4 linked regions of the Macaca fascicularis genome follow. The protein of the gene in region 1 interacts with the protein of each later gene in a biochemical or structural test. Links are inferred from orthologs where the notes say so. Each region holds a gene or a part of one and is shown in the gene's direction. Other genes may lie near its edges.

Evidence for each region.
Region 2: of the proteins of SNCA (region 1) and FYN, one has a biochemical effect on the other in vitro, tested with the Homo sapiens proteins (3 studies listed by BioGRID). The link is inferred for Macaca fascicularis from reciprocal best matches to the Homo sapiens genes SNCA and FYN.
Region 3: the proteins of SNCA (region 1) and VAMP2 form a complex in vitro, tested with the Homo sapiens proteins (3 studies listed by BioGRID and IntAct). The link is inferred for Macaca fascicularis from reciprocal best matches to the Homo sapiens genes SNCA and VAMP2.
Region 4: the proteins of SNCA (region 1) and SNCAIP form a complex in vitro, tested with the Homo sapiens proteins (3 studies listed by BioGRID and IntAct, with this or other methods). The link is inferred for Macaca fascicularis from reciprocal best matches to the Homo sapiens genes SNCA and SNCAIP.

The regions. Positions count from the first base shown.
Region 1 is NC_088379.1:95,364,118-95,367,627, reverse strand, and holds part of SNCA (alpha-synuclein), read left to right. Parts: intron 1-2,161; coding exon 2,162-2,304; intron 2,305-3,510. UniProt on the Homo sapiens protein: Neuronal protein that plays several roles in synaptic activity such as regulation of synaptic vesicle trafficking and subsequent neurotransmitter release.
Region 2 is NC_088378.1:15,922,004-15,926,131, reverse strand, and holds the start of FYN (tyrosine-protein kinase Fyn), read left to right. Parts: upstream 1-1,320; 5' UTR 1,321-1,797; intron 1,798-4,128. UniProt on the Homo sapiens protein: Non-receptor tyrosine-protein kinase that plays a role in many biological processes including regulation of cell growth and survival, cell adhesion, integrin-mediated signaling, cytoskeletal remodeling, cell motility, immune response and axon guidance.
Region 3 is NC_088390.1:8,246,498-8,250,471, reverse strand, and holds the start of VAMP2 (vesicle-associated membrane protein 2), read left to right. Parts: upstream 1-1,166; 5' UTR 1,167-1,245; coding exon 1,246-1,247; intron 1,248-1,762; coding exon 1,763-1,883; intron 1,884-2,366; coding exon 2,367-2,525; intron 2,526-2,608; coding exon 2,609-2,660; intron 2,661-3,268; coding exon 3,269-3,285; 3' UTR 3,286-3,974. UniProt on the Homo sapiens protein: Involved in the targeting and/or fusion of transport vesicles to their target membrane. Major SNARE protein of synaptic vesicles which mediates fusion of synaptic vesicles to release neurotransmitters.
Region 4 is NC_088380.1:128,907,253-128,911,509, forward strand, and holds the start of SNCAIP (synphilin-1), read left to right. Parts: upstream 1-1,449; 5' UTR 1,450-1,534; coding exon of another isoform or gene 1,535-2,482; exon of another isoform or gene 2,483-2,817; intron 2,818-4,257. Other genes in the region: uncharacterized protein, read right to left, coding at 1,535-2,482. UniProt on the Homo sapiens protein: Isoform 2 inhibits the ubiquitin ligase activity of SIAH1 and inhibits proteasomal degradation of target proteins. Isoform 2 inhibits autoubiquitination and proteasomal degradation of SIAH1, and thereby increases cellular levels of SIAH.

The DNA.
Region 1 (3,510 bases):
AAAATAGAGGTTCAAGGTCAGCAGAGACCCTACTAGAGAAACCAGTTCTACAGAAATGTTTTTAAATGTGTCGATGATTGCTACCTGTATACTCTGTTATTTTGTCATGTAACCATTTTATTTATTATTATAATAATAAAAGAGTGAAATTATAATAATGTGCAGAGTACATTTTACTGTGCAGTGTATTGCATTAAAACTAGATTAAAATTTATACATCTATAAAAGGTTATCTAGATATTATAAAATTTATGGCTGGATCTGTAAAAAATTCAAAACCTATTTTTAATCTTGCTTCAAGATTTTATAACAAGAAAATGTTCATTTGAAGCAAAATTTTCAATTCTCGTCCTTGAAAACGAAAAAAATGACAACTTGAAACACATAATTGACTATTTTTAAAGGATCAACATTTCAGAAATGTTTTAAAACATAAAATTTTCAGTACAGCTTTTCACTGGCATTTAAATCGAACTTTGAATTGTAAATAGCTCTTACTCTTAAGGAGACATCAGCCATATCCTTAGAAATGGCACGGAGTTGGTAGGTAGTTGTACAAAATTCTAGCCTAAAAGACAAGTAGGGAGCAACAATACTGTGGACCCTTTCTGGTCTTGGGCTGTGTGGCTATGTCAGGCTTCCCCACATTGCCTGAACTAAGGAGAAAGCCTCTTGTCCTTACAGGCCCCTTAGCTTCTGTGACTTACATAGTCTATTTGAAAATGAATTGCTTTGTCCACACCATTTAACTATTGGCTTCTTCAACTGGTGAGATGAAACCTATACAATAATCATGTGACTAGCACGAAAGAGCTGACATGGTGTAACTCCTCTCAGACTGAGGCTTATCTGGGGAGTACAAATCATATCAAGAAAATGTGCCTTCATTTCCTTAGATGAGTGTCCCCATCCTCCACTCTCCTCCACTGTTCTCCTCTCTGCTTCTATGATACCAACTTTTTTTTTTTTTCTTTAGATTCCACATGAGTGAGATTATGTTGTGTTTGCCTTTCTGTTTCTGGCTTATTTCACTGAACAAGAAAATTTTTGACATGAAATTAAATTTCTGCCTATAAACTCAATTCAAACTGTTTACACTGTCTTCTCAAAAATGTTAACTTATTGTAATAAACCTACTGAATGACCGTATCACATTTTGTTTTGTGAAAACGAATTTTAAGGGTGCTCAATAGCCTCTTCATTTTCATACTGTCCAGCTCCTTTGCTCCTATTAAAATTACTGCAAGTTAGCTTTTAAGAACCCTATGTTTCACTACCTGAAGTTCTATAAAAAGATCCAAGTTCCTTCAAAACCATTTCTTATGCTGTCATTCATACATATGTGATAATACCGTGTCTGAACACACAGATAAGAAGTATGGGCTGGGTGCGGTGGGTCATGCCTGTAGTCCCAGCACTTTGGGAGGCCGAGGCAGGTGAACCACCTGAGGTTAGGAGTTCGAGACCAGCCTGGCCAACATGGTGAAACCCTGTTTCTACTAAAAATACAAAAAAAATTAGCCAGGCATGGTTATGGGCACCTGTAATCCCAGCTACTCAGGAGACTGCGGCAGGAGAATAGCTTGAACTCAGGAGGTGGGGATTGCAGTGAGCTGAGATTGTGCCATTGCACTCCAGCCTGGGCAACAAGAGTGAAACTCTATCTCAAATGAATGAATGAATGAATGAATGAATGAATGAATGAATGAATGAATAAATAAATAAATACAAGTATGTATTGTGTTGTTTAGAATGTGTGGTGGAAATGAACTTGCTGAGTGAGCTCAAAGGATTGGCACTGAATTGAAATAAAGAAATACTCATGTTGAGTCTGGTTCAACTATAACTGCACCTGTAAGAATTGCTTTCCTTAGTATAAAACAAATCCAAATCACTCATGGCTTTACATTCTGGATCATTAAACTTGAAGCACTTTTTAATACTGCATGACTTTAACAAAAATATCTTAGCCGAGATTCAATGTTTGGTTGAGCCACGCTCACTTGGACACCTTGGTTGCTTGTTTCTTCTGACCCCTCAGTTGTCTATGGCATGTGTAGATACAGGTGTATGGAAGTCGATGGCTAGTGGAAGTGGAATGATTTTAAGTCACTGTTATTCCACCACCCTTTAATCTGTTGTTGCTCTTGATTTGTACCAGTGGCTGAGAAGACCAAAGAGCAAGTGACAAATGTTGGAGGAGCGGTGGTGACGGGTGTGACAGCAGTAGCCCAGAAGACAGTGGAGGGAGCAGGGAACATTGCAGCAGCCACTGGCTTCATCAAAAAGGACCAGTTGGGCAAGGTACGGTGTGTACATTTTGTGCTACATTTATAAGCTGGTGAGATTATGGTTCATTTTCATGTGAGGCCTGGAGGCAGGAGCAGGACACTTACTGTGAGGAACAGCTACCTGACCCTCCCCTTGTGAAAATGTGCTACCTTTATATTGGTCTTGCTTGTTTCAGGCATTAACCCAGATAAATGCCATGCAAATTTTATAATTATCATGATTGTTTCAATTTCTAGAAGAAAGTTAATGAAATAAAAAATGTAGCAAAATGTCAAAGGAACAGTGACATTTCAAAAAGAATGAGGACTTTCATGTTAACTATAAGTCTTGGAATTTCTCTTCCTTGGAATAACAAATCTCTTTGTGCCTAATTTCTTAATTTCCAAAATAAAATTCTTTTACTTGATTTCTTTATAGTGACATCATCTCTTATTAAATGGCATATTTGCATATTACATAACAGTTCATTGCCAAATACATGTTTGTGAGAACTAAGAGGTTTAAAATATATACCAACCAGAGATCATAGTTTTGAGGTAGATTTTAAAATTCTGAGAAGAATTTTGACTGAATTTTTTTGACAAACATGGGGCACAAATAAGATTATACCAAAGATACTATAACTTTCATTTTAAATATGAAACTAATACGGTATGAGGTGTCAACAATGATGAAATTTTACAAATGTCACCACTACAACAGCAAAATGATTTTTGCTTTTTCCCTGTCTCCTTGCTATTTCTTGAATAAATCAAGCATACCCTTGCCCTGACACATTACTGGGGAGGCCTGCCTTAATCTATATAAAATTGGAGCCATTCTTCTCACCTCTGGTATTCTCAGTCTCCCTACTCTTTCTTTCTCCTTCCTTCCTACCTTCCTTCCTTCCTTCCTTCTTCCTTCCTTTTTCTTTCTTTCTTTTTTCCTTCCTTCCTTCCTTCTTCCTTCTCTCTTTTCCTTCCTTCCTTTCTTTCTCTTTCTTTCTTTCTTTCTTCCTTCCTTCCTTCCTTCCTTCCTTCCTTCCTTCCTTCCTTCCTTCCTTTCTTTCTTTCTTTCTTTCTTTCTTTCTTTCTTTCTTTCTCTTTCTTCCTTCCTTCCTTCCTTCCTTCCTCTTTCTCTTTCCCTTCCTTCCTTCTTTCCTTCCTTCCTTCCTTCCTTCCTTTGTTTTTCTTTCTTTCTTTGCCAAAGTGTTCTTCACCTTTAAATATAATAAATAAT
Region 2 (4,128 bases), on another chromosome or scaffold:
TAGAGTTAGTTACTTAACTTCTCTTTTCCTCAGTTTCCTCCTCCATAGGATGCAGATCATGTAATAAATATTAGCAACTTTTCTTAAAAAGTAGGGTGCACAAAAAGAAAAAAGTCAGCAAAAGGGACTGATTTTTAAAACTTAATTAAAAGCAAGTAGTGGGCCGGAAAGGCAATATTATAGATTTTTGAGCACAGAAGCAGAAGCTGATTCACTTATAATTTCTTAGAACATTAGATTTGCTGAGGGGGAAAGGTAGGGTTCTTGCCAAAATCATTAAGGAGAGCGATTCTGAGTATGCCTTAAAGCAGAACTTTCAGTAAACAGGAATTACCTATAAAGAAAATCAGGAAGCCAAAGTGTTTCTTTTCATGAAGTTACATCCTGCCATAGAAAAGCTGGATAGGAAATAAAGACCGATGCACTCCCAACTGTATACTAAACCGGCAATTATTTCATCAAGGGAAATCTGAGCAAAAGCTCAGATTCTGTGAAGGGGAAAAAAAACATGAGAGGTTTGAATGTCATAAGAAACCAAAGACAACCAATGGCTACAATTAAACAAGGTTTTTTTGTGGGGGGAAATGTACGAACAAATCTCTGTGATTTCAGGTTCTTTAGTCGCTGCTCGCCCCTCCCCCCATTTCAGTAATACTTCCTCTAGACTTTTGCTAGAAAAGAAATATAAATAAGTGTCTCCAGAAACAGGGGACTGATAAAATGATCCTAATCTCCTTCTCCTCCTCATTGTTATTTGTTGTGCGTTTCCACGTTTCAGTGACAGGATTCTACTTTGTTCGCTACTCTTTTCAGTTTGATCAAAGAAAACGCTGCTATCACCGTCCAAACAATTTTCCATTTCATCCTCTCACCCTCAAATGAAAAGACACCAGAAAGGCAAGATAGCCCTGTCTCGAGGCAGGTTCCCATGGTTTGGGGGGAATGGCAGGTGTCAATCTGCAGCAGCAGCTGCAACCTTCCGCAAAGCAGAAACTGCAGTTCACACTTTCCGCTCTTTCTCCCGCCCTACTCCGCCACCTCACAACTCCACACAATCCTTAAAAACACACAGACCTCCTCCTCCAACCTCGCATCCTCTTGCACACCCTGCACCGCACGCACCCTGGGATGCCCGCTGCCACAGTAACGCTCAACCCACTCGGCGGCCCCACCCACTGCCGTCCCGCCCACGCCCCAGGCGCCAATGGTTGAGGCCCGCAGCTCCCAAGGGGCTCCTTGATAGGGCAGCGGGGCCTGTCACTCTCGGGGCGCACCCCGCCCCCTCCTCGCTCCCCTCCGGAGCTGGAGGGGCCGAGCATCAGCAAGAGTAGCAGCGAGCAGCCGCGGTGGTGGCGGCGGCGCGTCGTTGCAGTTGCGCCATCTGTCAGGAGCGGAGCCGGCGAGGAGGGGGCTGCCGCGGGCGAGGAGGAGGGGTCGCCGCGAGCCGAAGGCCTTCGAGACCCGCCCGCCGGCCGGCGGCGAGAGTAGAGGCGAGGTTGCCCTGCGAGCGGCGCGTCCTCTCCCGCCCGGGCGCGCCGCGCTTCTCCCGGCGCACCGAGGACCGCCCGGGCGCACACAAAGCCGCCGCCCGCGTCGCACCGCCCGGCGGCCGCCGCCCGCGCCAGGGAGGGATCCGGCCGCCGGGCCGGGGACACCCCGGCGCCGCCCCCTCCGTGCTCTCGGAAGGCCCACCGGCTCCTGGGCCCGCCGGGGAGCTCCCGGAGCCGCCTCGGCCGCGCCGGAGGAGGGCGGGGAGAGGACCATGTGAATGGGCTCCGGAGCCTGAGCGCCGCGCAGGTAAGCAGGCGGCGGGGATGCGCCGCGGGAGGCCTCGGGGATGCTGCGGAGACGCCCGGCCGCCGGCGCCCCCGCGCACGCCGCCCCCGCCGCGGGGCCCGGCGCTGCGGTCCCTCGGCCGCCGGGGCGCCCCGCGGGGCTGCTGGGGAGTCGGCGCTCGGGGTCTTCCCGTGGCTGCACGCGAGGACACCCCTGCGGGGTGCGGCTCCGAGGCGGCGCGGGGATGGGGGCCCCATTTCCTCGCCCGCAAGCGGGCGCCGAGTGAAAATTGGAATTGGCTTGGGGGTGAGGCTGGCCCAGACTCCGCCCCCGCCCTCCTTTCGGGGCCCCCAGCGGGGACTGGGGCTGTGTGTGTTGTTTTAATGTCAGGGGTGATGTAATCACTTAATAATTGATGCCCCGTGCTGCTTCCCTCCCCACCCAACCCCTGCCCCACTCCTCCACCTCTCGGCCTCCTCCCTCGGCGGCGGTCGCCTTCTCCAACCCATCCTCCTGCCTATTTCTGGCACCTCCCTTGCACTTCCCCCATCCTCTCCTTCACTCTTCCTGTGCCACCACCCACCCACCCTTCCCCTTTCCCCTGTGCTAGAGCCTTTCCTTCTCTTCCTCTGTCCCTCACCCCTCTGCTCCCTCCAGCTCCTTTCTCCTTCCTTTCCGGCTCCCTCTCTGGATTTCCTCTCTACTTCCCTAGATCCATGGCTGTTTTTGTTTGGGCTCCTCCCCTCTCTTATCTCTGCGGCCACAGGCGGAGGGGACTGGGCCAGAAGGAGGCCACCGAGCTTGGGCCCAGGGAGAGATGTGCTGGGACTCACTGGGAAGATGGATAATAAAATCACCCTTCTTGCCCCTCCTTCCCCCAATAAATCACACAGACTCGCCGGGTGTGTGTGTGTGAGTGTGAGTGTGACACAAAGAGCCCTTTCAGTGCATAGAAAGGAGACACACAAAGTACCCTAGGATAGGCACGATGCTTCTTGTCTCTCCTCCCTGGGGCTTCCCTTTCTTTCCCATGAAGCAGTTGGTCTCTCTGAGTCTTTCCTGCCACATTTACCAAAAAATAAAAGAACCCCCAGATGCCGGGTGGCAGGTGTCGGCATTTTGCTGTGTTCACAGACCAGTAGTGTTGACTGGCAGCTGCAGTGTTTCTTAGATTTAAGGGGACAATTATTCCAGCAGTCTTAAGAGTTGCTTTACTTTTAAGGTAGCCTCCCTATCCCTATTCTTTCCCCTCTTCTTTTGGGGACAAGTACTAAGAGCTGGGGTAGAGTAAATTGGTGTGGGGGTCACAGGAATTTTGTTTCTGAATCAGAATTAAATTGGTATTTGATAAGGGGGAGGCAACCTGACTGGCTTCTTCTATCAAGTCTAAGAGGTCACTGTGCTGATGTCTTTTGAAATGAAATCCTGTCAGCCCAGTGATGTTGTTTTACCCTTTTATTGACCCTTTTATTGAAGTAAATACCTGGGGACGTGGATAAAACGGTCTAGAGTTAGCATTTGGAAGACCACTGCAGACTGTCTTTTGCCTGCTTCAAGGTAGTCTTGGGACGCCCACTTCCTTTCTCACCACCCAAGCAACTGCAATACTTTCCACCCTTTGTACTGTCTTCTTCCCCAGTCCCTGCTCCATGGTTACCCTGTGTTCAGATAAAGGGACTCGCAGACTTTTGGAGGAAGTGGTTTAACTATATGAGGCTTTGGGGCCACTTGGCTATGAACTGGGGCTGTAGAGAGTCTTGACTGAAGTCTAAACCATCTGATGTTCTTTTTAAGGAGGAAATGTTAATGTAAATCTGGGGGCTTAATGTTCCGTTTTGTAAACTAGTGACTATTACACGCTTAATCGATATTGTCAAAACTTAAGTGAAACCCGTTCTTCCCTAAAAGTATGGCTCCTCGACTATTATAAGTAACAGAACTGTAGGTTTCTTTTTCAGTAATTTTATTAGAAAAGAGTTATGATTCGTGAAACATTTACTTATGTGCTTTTTAAGAACATTAATCGTGGAGCTTTTTACATTAAAAAAAGCAATAGGGTTAATGAGTGTACTGTGAAAACAAAGGGTCGTTTGTTTGATGCCGGACCCAGGAAGGAAAGCCAGAGCACATAAACTCGCACTCTGTTGACCAAGTTTGAGAGACTTAATGATAAGGTTGAATGTGAGCAAATGCACACTCTGTTTTCTCCTGGGTCTGCAATCTCTAACCCCATCTGACTTCCTTGAAGTCGTTTTTAACCTTTGGCGCCCAACTCAAATGTCATCTCCTCTGTGAAGCCGTTTCCATCTTCTCCTTTCCAAACAAATCATCATATTTTGGTTTCAAACTTTG
Region 3 (3,974 bases), on another chromosome or scaffold:
AGGGCCTAATGGAGATAGGGATAATCTTCCATGTTATCCACATCAAGCCATTTAACGAATATGGATTTAGTATCTACATATGCAATGTATTTGGGGTCCAGAGAGAGGACGGCAACTGTCCAAGGTCACACCTGCGAGGCGAATACGCATGTAAAGCAGCACCTTGTAAACTGTACCCACTGTGCCTACTACTAAAGAAAAAAAAATGAGAGAGAAAAAAGCCTTTTGGTCCCTGTGCCTGGGACCAAAGCCTGAGCCCTCTCCTGCAGTTGGGGTCGCTGACCCAAGCCTGGGGCAAAGCTAGGTCTTGGCCAGTCAGCAGCCACCACGTGAAGCAGCCCCTGCCCCCATCAGCCCCGGCTGCCTTGTGCCCTCCTCCTCGGGGTCTTCAGCTCACCCCACCTCAGTCGGGCCTGCTCCAGCTGTTAAGTACCCCTGGTCTGAACCTCAATCGTGAGGCGGGGCACCCCCCTCCTCACACCCTGTAGACACTCCCCGGTCCTCCACCCCCGGGACTTGTTTCGGCAGGAAGAGCCTGCCTCATCTTTTCTTCCCACCCTCCTACCCAGTGGCCTGGGATCGCAGGCTTCCTCTGAGACATCCACCAGCGGGGTGATGGGTTGAGACCAACCTCCTCCACTCCCCTCCACCCTAGCAGCAGGGTCCCCGCTCTCGATATTGCCCCAGCGCCTGTACTGGCCCTCTCTGATTTCCCAACCCCAGCCCATTCCCAGTGCTGAAGGCGGGTCGCTAGGTGCTGGGACCTGGGCGCGGGGCGAGACCTTGGGCTGTGTGGGATGCAGGCTGGCTTATTGGGTTCACGATTCAGGGAGTGGTCTGGGGGTTAGGTGCGGGGCCAGGCTGCTGTGTGCCCTAAGGGGCAGGTGGCAAGAGGTTTGGGGGCGGCTGTGGAAGGCTGTGCTCAGACAGGGCGGGGTGACGGTGGGTTTAGGGAAGCCGCAGCAACCCGCCTGGTGGTCCCGTGAGTGCCCAGAGAGCTGCCGGGGCACGGTGGCGCCAGACCCGCAGTCCCGCCGGGCACGACCCCAGTCCCGCAGCGCCCCGCCCCCGCGGCCCCGCTCCCGACGCGTCGCCCGCGGCGCCCCGCCCCCGCCCGCAGTGCCCGGATGCGGGTGACGCGCGGCCGCCATCTTTCCGTCCCGGGCAGCCAGCGCCAGTCGGAGCCAGCGCGAGTTGCCGCCGCCATCACTGCTGCTGCCAAGTCCTCCACCCGCTGCCCCCACCATGTGAGTCGGCCGCCCGCCACCCTCACCGCGCTTCCCTGCACCGGCCGCCGCCCTTGGCAACCGGCCGTGGGGAGTGCCCGGGGTCTCTCCCGCGTTCCCCGCGCCCCGGGGCCAGGCCCAAGCCGGTGACTGCGCGCGGGCGGCCGAGAAGCCCAGCGTCTCGGGCTGGCCGGCTCGAGCGATGGCCGCAGGAAGGAGCGGACCCTGTGTCCTCCTGCCGCGCCCCGCCCCTGTCACCGCGGCCGCCTGTCTTTTCGGGTCGACCCCGATCACATCTGTGAGGTCGCCCTCATTTGACAGGCGGGGAAACTGAGGCCGGGGGGAGGGGAGGCCTCGCTCAAGGTCACGCAGCTCATCGGTGGCGAGGCTGGACCTGGACCAGGGCTTCCATCGGGTGGCCTTCCTCCCGAAAAGGAGGACTGGAGGGACGAGGATGGACAGGTGGATGGGCGGAGCCCTGGCTGCAGGGCCGGGAGACTGCAGGCCCTGGGTCTTAATCCGTCCCTGCTCCTCAGGTCTGCTACCGCTGCCACGGCCCCCCCTGCCGCCCCGGCTGGGGAGGGTGGCCCCCCTGCACCCCCTCCAAACCTCACCAGTAACAGGAGACTGCAGCAGACCCAGGCCCAGGTGGATGAGGTGAGTGTGGGGGGAGTCAAAAGCAGTAGAAAGGACCCTGGGGGTTGGCGTTTAGGTGTAGGGGCCCATGTTGGTTTGGGAGTGATGACAGTTCACGCCTGTGGGTTTGCGGACAAAGATACCTTGCCCCATCCGTGTCTCCCTGTCAGCACGCACTTGGAAGGGTGCTGGGGGTGTTAATCAGCTTTGCTAGCCTGGGGTGTGCCAGCCTAGGCAGGTGTGCTCTGGTGATGGACAGAGCGCCTGAGGCGCCATAGAGGGAGGGTGTTGCTATGATATCTGAGATGTCACCAGTAATCCCCTGATGTGTGCTCCTTGCATGTCCCCAGGTGTGCTAGGCATGTACTGTGTGTGTCCTTGGCATGTTAACCTGGCAGCATCAGGGTGCATGTTCCATGTGTGGCACGGTGGGCACATGTTTGAGGATTACCCTCATGAGGTGGGCCTTGGCACACCCCCTTGCCCCGTGGGCCCTTCTCCCAGGTGGTGGACATCATGAGGGTGAACGTGGACAAGGTCCTGGAGCGGGACCAGAAGCTGTCGGAGCTGGACGACCGTGCAGATGCACTCCAGGCAGGGGCCTCCCAGTTTGAAACAAGTGCAGCCAAGCTCAAGCGCAAATACTGGTGGAAAAACCTCAAGGTAAGGATGGGGACAGGAAGGAGGACTGGCGGGTGAATGGGGTATCATAGTTAGTCTCGCTGATCCTCTCCTCTCACCCCCAGATGATGATCATCTTGGGAGTGATTTGCGCCATCATCCTCATCATCATCATAGGTGAGTAGGCTGGCAATGGCCGGGGCCCTTTCCCTGGAGAGGTTTCCCCAGTGGATTCTGGGTTTTGAAGGTCATTAACCTAGTTTTTACTCTTCAGCCAAAAACACATATAGCTGCTAATGGCAATTCTGATTCACCTAGAGCCAAAAACTTTGATGTTATTTAGCCTGCATTTTGCCTGGTTCTTGGCAGTTTTGTTAACATTTAGAAATATAAAAGTTGGTGTATCCATTGAGGACCCTTTGGGCCTAAGAGCCCAATCTGAGAGCCCTGGAATTGAGGAGTGGGAGAAAGGAAAGGCCCAGGGGCTTGAGACATGACCAGGAAGCCAACCACCCCATTATTTGAGAGCTTGTGGCCTCAGGCTCAGAGGATTAGGGTATGTGGCCTCAAGGCCATACCATGGAACTGAAGGGACCTCATAACCTACCTGTCTAACCCCTTGCTTTGTAGATGGAGAAACTGAGTCCAAGAGAGGGGTAGGGGTGCCAGCCAGCTGGGGAGTGGGGAGGATTGGAGCAGGGCCAGGCCTGACACACTGCTTTCTTTCTTTCTCCCTCTCTCCCTCCCCTCTCCCTCTTCCTCATCTTCTTCCCCTCTCTCCACAGTTTACTTCAGCACTTAAATCCCTGAGGAGTCTGCCCTGCCTAAAGAAGGGCCTCTCCCCCCACCCTCAGCCGTTCCTCCACCTCTCAGCCATATCTTTCAGCCCCCCTTCCCTGGATCCGTGCGTGTGTGTGTCCGTGTGTGTGTCCCCCTGTAAATAGCCAGCTGTTATTTATACATATATAATATTATATATATTTGGTCTGTTTGTAGTTTTATTACTAGAAGATTTTTCTGGTTGTCCTTAACACCCCTTCCTGAGGTTCCCTTCACCTCCTCTCTCTTGCCTGCCTTCCCTTTCCCTTTCTTCCTGACTAGCCCCAAGTCCCTTCATTTGCATCTGCTATGCAATAGTCCCTCTCCTCTCCTTCTTCTTCCCTCAGATTTAGCTGATCCTTCCCCCCACCCTGGCCTTCCTTTCCTCCTCCCTCTCCCGGTCATGCTCCCTCTGCCCCGCCCTCAAAAAAGACCACAAAAAACAAAAAGCATCTGTCCAGGCTTCCTTAGGTGCATCTTGTTTGCATCCAATGGGAGGCTCTGAGACTGGCCCCACTTGGTCCTAAGAATCCCAAGGTCTTTGGGAGTGTCCAGCATGTTAAGTAGCGTATCATTACATACTGCCATCCCTTTCCATTTCTTTTTGTTCCATCACTCTTCTCTCAACTGGTGTTTCTTTTTTTACTGAGGAGTTAGTCCCCATTAGTCCTT
Region 4 (4,257 bases), on another chromosome or scaffold:
ACACCTGGCTCGACCAGAGCTAATGAATATTTAGGACAGTTGGAAGGAGATGACCATTTATAATTCTTCAGTAAATGAATCCTTCAATAAATTAAAATGATTTTCAAAAACAGGGTGTCAAAATATTTAAGAGAATGGAAATAAAGTATGTTCTCTGTAGATCATGTCAAGGGTGACACCAATCCCATCCATATCTACTGGATGAAAGCAAGATGTGCTTTTCTCAAAATTTACACTAGGCAAAAAAAAAAAAAAAAAGGCAGTTTTATTTTAACCAGATGTGAACAAATCAAACCCAATATTTTCAAGTATTTTTAGTGCCACATGATGTCATCCAATTTTATATTTTCTACTGGGGGATAATGTGTATTTTTAAAATTGTGAAGCCACTTTCCATGTATGTACTTAAGTCTTACGATAAATTACAATAAACAAATTACAACAGCACAGGACATGATCTTGGCTGTTTATGTCAACAGCCAAGAAAGACATTTAGGTTTCAGTAGGAAATGGAATTAGACACATGTGAAATGTCTTCCGCTGGCATTCAAGGTAGTCCTCATTTCAGTGACGATGGTCCTGGTCCAAACAGGTCCAGGGCAAGCATTACTCTGCCTATGCCCTCCTAGTACAGCGCAGCCTGTGGACTCCACAAAGACTGAAGGCAGTCTTAGGCTAGTTATTCAGGAAACCCCAGCTTTAAACAACCAGAGCCTTCCTTTTTTGTTGTAACAAGATCACACATCCCCATTGCTACTACCCAGATAGTGCCGGGTGTCCCAGGATCTTGGCACTGCTCTTGTCCTCTGGAACTGGCAAGGGAATGAAGATGCCTCTAAACTGACCAAGACTTACTTCCTCACGCTTTTCTCTGGGGCAGCATCAGGCAAGCAGTCATACCCTGGAACAAGAGTGTGGTCCTCAATGGCTTTGCTGAGTGAACTTCTCCGAGTCATCTCGCCTGGGAAAGAGATTTCTCAAAGATCATTTAAAGCTTTCCAGAGGGCAACAGCAAGACAGTCGTGAGCCAAGGTTACCATAAATGCTTCCACAACCCCTGATTTCATTTCGGAAATAAGGAAAGAAGTAGTCAGCACTGCAGGCGTTGCTGACTCCTCATCCAGCAGCCTCCCACCCCCAATCCCTCAACAATTAAGATACAATAAAAGTAAAGTTAATATTACTGTAGGGCCATTGGTACATTGAAACGTCGTTGAATTAAAAAGTCTTTATTTCAGCCCAAGATCTTCTCCATCCACCCACACTTGAGCACAGAACATTCCAGGCAGGCAAAGCCACCCGTGCCCTCCTCTCCTTGGCCACGTCCTCAGGGGTGGGCGAGCTTCGGGGAGAGGGGTGGGGGTGACGACTCCGTGCCAACGCAAAATACTCTGCCAAAAGGCTTCTCAGACACGAGTTTCCCAGGGCCATGCCCACCTTCCGTTCCCCGCCTTCCTGAGTCTCTTCTCCCGGTTTATGCTGGAACCCTGGAATGGTCTGGGGACCAATGAGATGGCAGCGGTTGACGCTTGGATCACGGTGAGGGGGCGATTTCCAGGGGGAGAGGCCGCGAAGCAAGGAAGGGGGGGCAGGAGGAGAAAAGTGGGAAGCGGGGACAAAAAGTAGGCGGGGAGGAGAGGAGAGCCCCAGTTGGGGAAAAGCAACGGCAGTCGAGGTAAAAAGAGCGAAAGGTAAAGAAAGAGCAGGTTCGTGAACAGGAGCCGGCGGGCAGGCCGGGGGATCCCGGGCGAGGAAGCGGCGAGGGAGGGGCGTGGGCCGGGCCGGGGGCCCAGCGGGGAGGGTCACTGTCAGTCAGGCTGAGCTGGGCTCGCTGGCCGGGGGGCGGCCGCAGGGGCGCAGCGCAGCCTGAGGGCGCGGCAGCCCCAGCAGCCTCGGCAGTGGCAGTGGTGGCCGCGCCCCCGTCCCCGGCCGGGCGCCCGCGCTGCGTTCCGCGTACCCCAGCGCCGGTTCCGGCCGGCGGCCGCCCAGGCTGCCCCCGCCCGCGCGCGCCCGTTGGGGGGCCCAGGGAGCTGCGCCCGCGGCCGGGCCGCATTGTGACGTAGCGGGGCCGCGGCAGCGCCTCCGCCGCTCGCCTGCTCCCGCCGAGGCTGTTCTGCTCCCGCCGCCGCAGTCCGTCCGTCGGTCTGTCAGTCCCTTCGCGCTCCTGAGCCGCCGGCGCGCGTGGCGCCCCGGGTGAGTCCAGGTCCCAAACGGACCCCGCGGGGAGGCGGGGGGCGAGGAGCTGGCGGCTCAGCCTTTCCAAGTTTGCACCAGGCGACCCTGGCGGGTGTCGCCCCGTGCTCCCCAAGCCCGGGGCCCCCTTTGTGCCGCGAGTCTCGGCTGCTTGGGACAGCAGAGGCGTCTCTGCAGAAAGGGTTTGGGGGGAGGTCTCTATAGTAACAGTGGTGGCGGCAGCGGCTGTTTTACTGGGGAAAGGGGGAAACAACCCCCGCCTCGGTTTCCAAAGGATTGTTCTTTTCATTTGCCTGCCTCATGTGGTTCTTATTCTTGCTGCCACCCGGGATCGTATCGCAGGCAGGGATGGGCAGTGCCGCGGCTCGGAAGAGCTGAGGTAAGGAGGGGCGAAGTAATAGTAATAGCGACGGTACTAACAACGGTAGCAATAGCTGTAGAAGAGGGACGTCTGGTGTTGCTGCCGCCCCTCGCTCATCAGCACGGGCTCCCCGACTGCCCTGTCCAGCCCGGGCTCCGTCAGCCTCCCTCTAATGCTGTCCTGCGTCCCAGGCTGGTCCGCGTCAATTTCAGCGGGGACTGTTTCTCTCTTGGCCTTCTCTCTTGGCGATGACTTTCATCTGCAGGTGGTAAGTAGGGTGAACCCAATTTTGGCTATTGTCAAAGGCCACATTTTGTTTATTTCATTTTTACGAAAAGAAAAGAGGGAAAATTATGAGCCATTACTGGCAGCCATACAGTTTCCACAGGAAATACTAGCATTCTTTGAGGAACACGCTACTGCTTGCAGCGAAGAAAGTCTTAGGAAACAAAAAGGCAACAGCATTGTTGCTCATTTTCAATGGACCTCTAGGAGGGGGGAAACGTGTTGTTTTTTCCTGTGGTAACGTTGCTTTCCTTGGGAAAGTTAATTAAGGAAGCATTACTGTCGGTGCCCCTTTTTCACTTGCTGGAGGCAGGGTCCGATTCCTCTTGGCTGTTACTGACAAGTGCCCATCAAAGAGCCCAGAGGAAGAGAGAACTGCTGCAGGACAGTCTCGCCACACACCACGTGCCGTGGAGCCTGGCCAGGGTGCAGTTTGCAAAATGAAATAAGGGCTGTCTGGGGAGGTTTATGAGGATTACATGTGTGCAAAGTATGTCAGTTCTCCAAGGTGTCACTCTAAACACGTAATTTTCAAGCACTACTTTCGTTGCTGAATCTGCAGGAAGGGAAAAACCTAGTTTTCTTTTATGGAGCAGACATCTCAATTGGGAATGGGTTGAAATCTGTATTTCATTTGTACATATTGAAAATTTAAAAGGCAAAGAACAAGGTGTAGGAAAGCAGTATGCTAATGTGTACACATCTGGGAGAGAAAGTCTGTTGGCTGTTTCTAATGCATCTCAATGTTAAATTACATTCAGCATGGTTAGAGTACAAGGAGACACCTTTAAGGAGTCCTCAAGACTATTTGAAAGGTGCTGTATTTTGGTACTGATCGCGGAAGTCTCTCTAGAAAGGGAGTATTAACTGAGGATTACCCATAACTAAATATGTATGCATTAACAGGTCTGGAATCAGAAAGTAGAAGATAGTGCTTCTCTTAAGAATCTTTTGGACATCTCAGTTAGAATAAAATACAGAATGGGATTTTGAAAAGAAGGGGTATAATTTTGAGTATAAATTTCATTTTCTCCATAGCAAGCGTTTCATGACGAAAGGTTACAGATAGTAGATTTGAAATGATGCTGCATTCATGAATTTGACTGTTACCATTTGTTGATATCCAAAAGGAAGTGACTAAAGCAAATGCATTTCTCTGTCTACTTTGTCACAACTTTGCTAATTCCAGACAGTTGTTCTGGTGCAGGTGTACAGTGGAAATGCAAGCCAAGAAACTGTGTGTGCTATTGTTTTGGAAGAAATTGTAGCAGTACTTTACTGCTCTTAAGGGAAACCCACACAAACATCTAATACAAACAAATGATCCTTGATATTATCAGAAAAAGCCTGGAGCTGTTTTTCTTGCCAGATGTAAGGCATGTCTTGTCAAAAGAGGAAATCTCCCAAGGAGCAGGTGC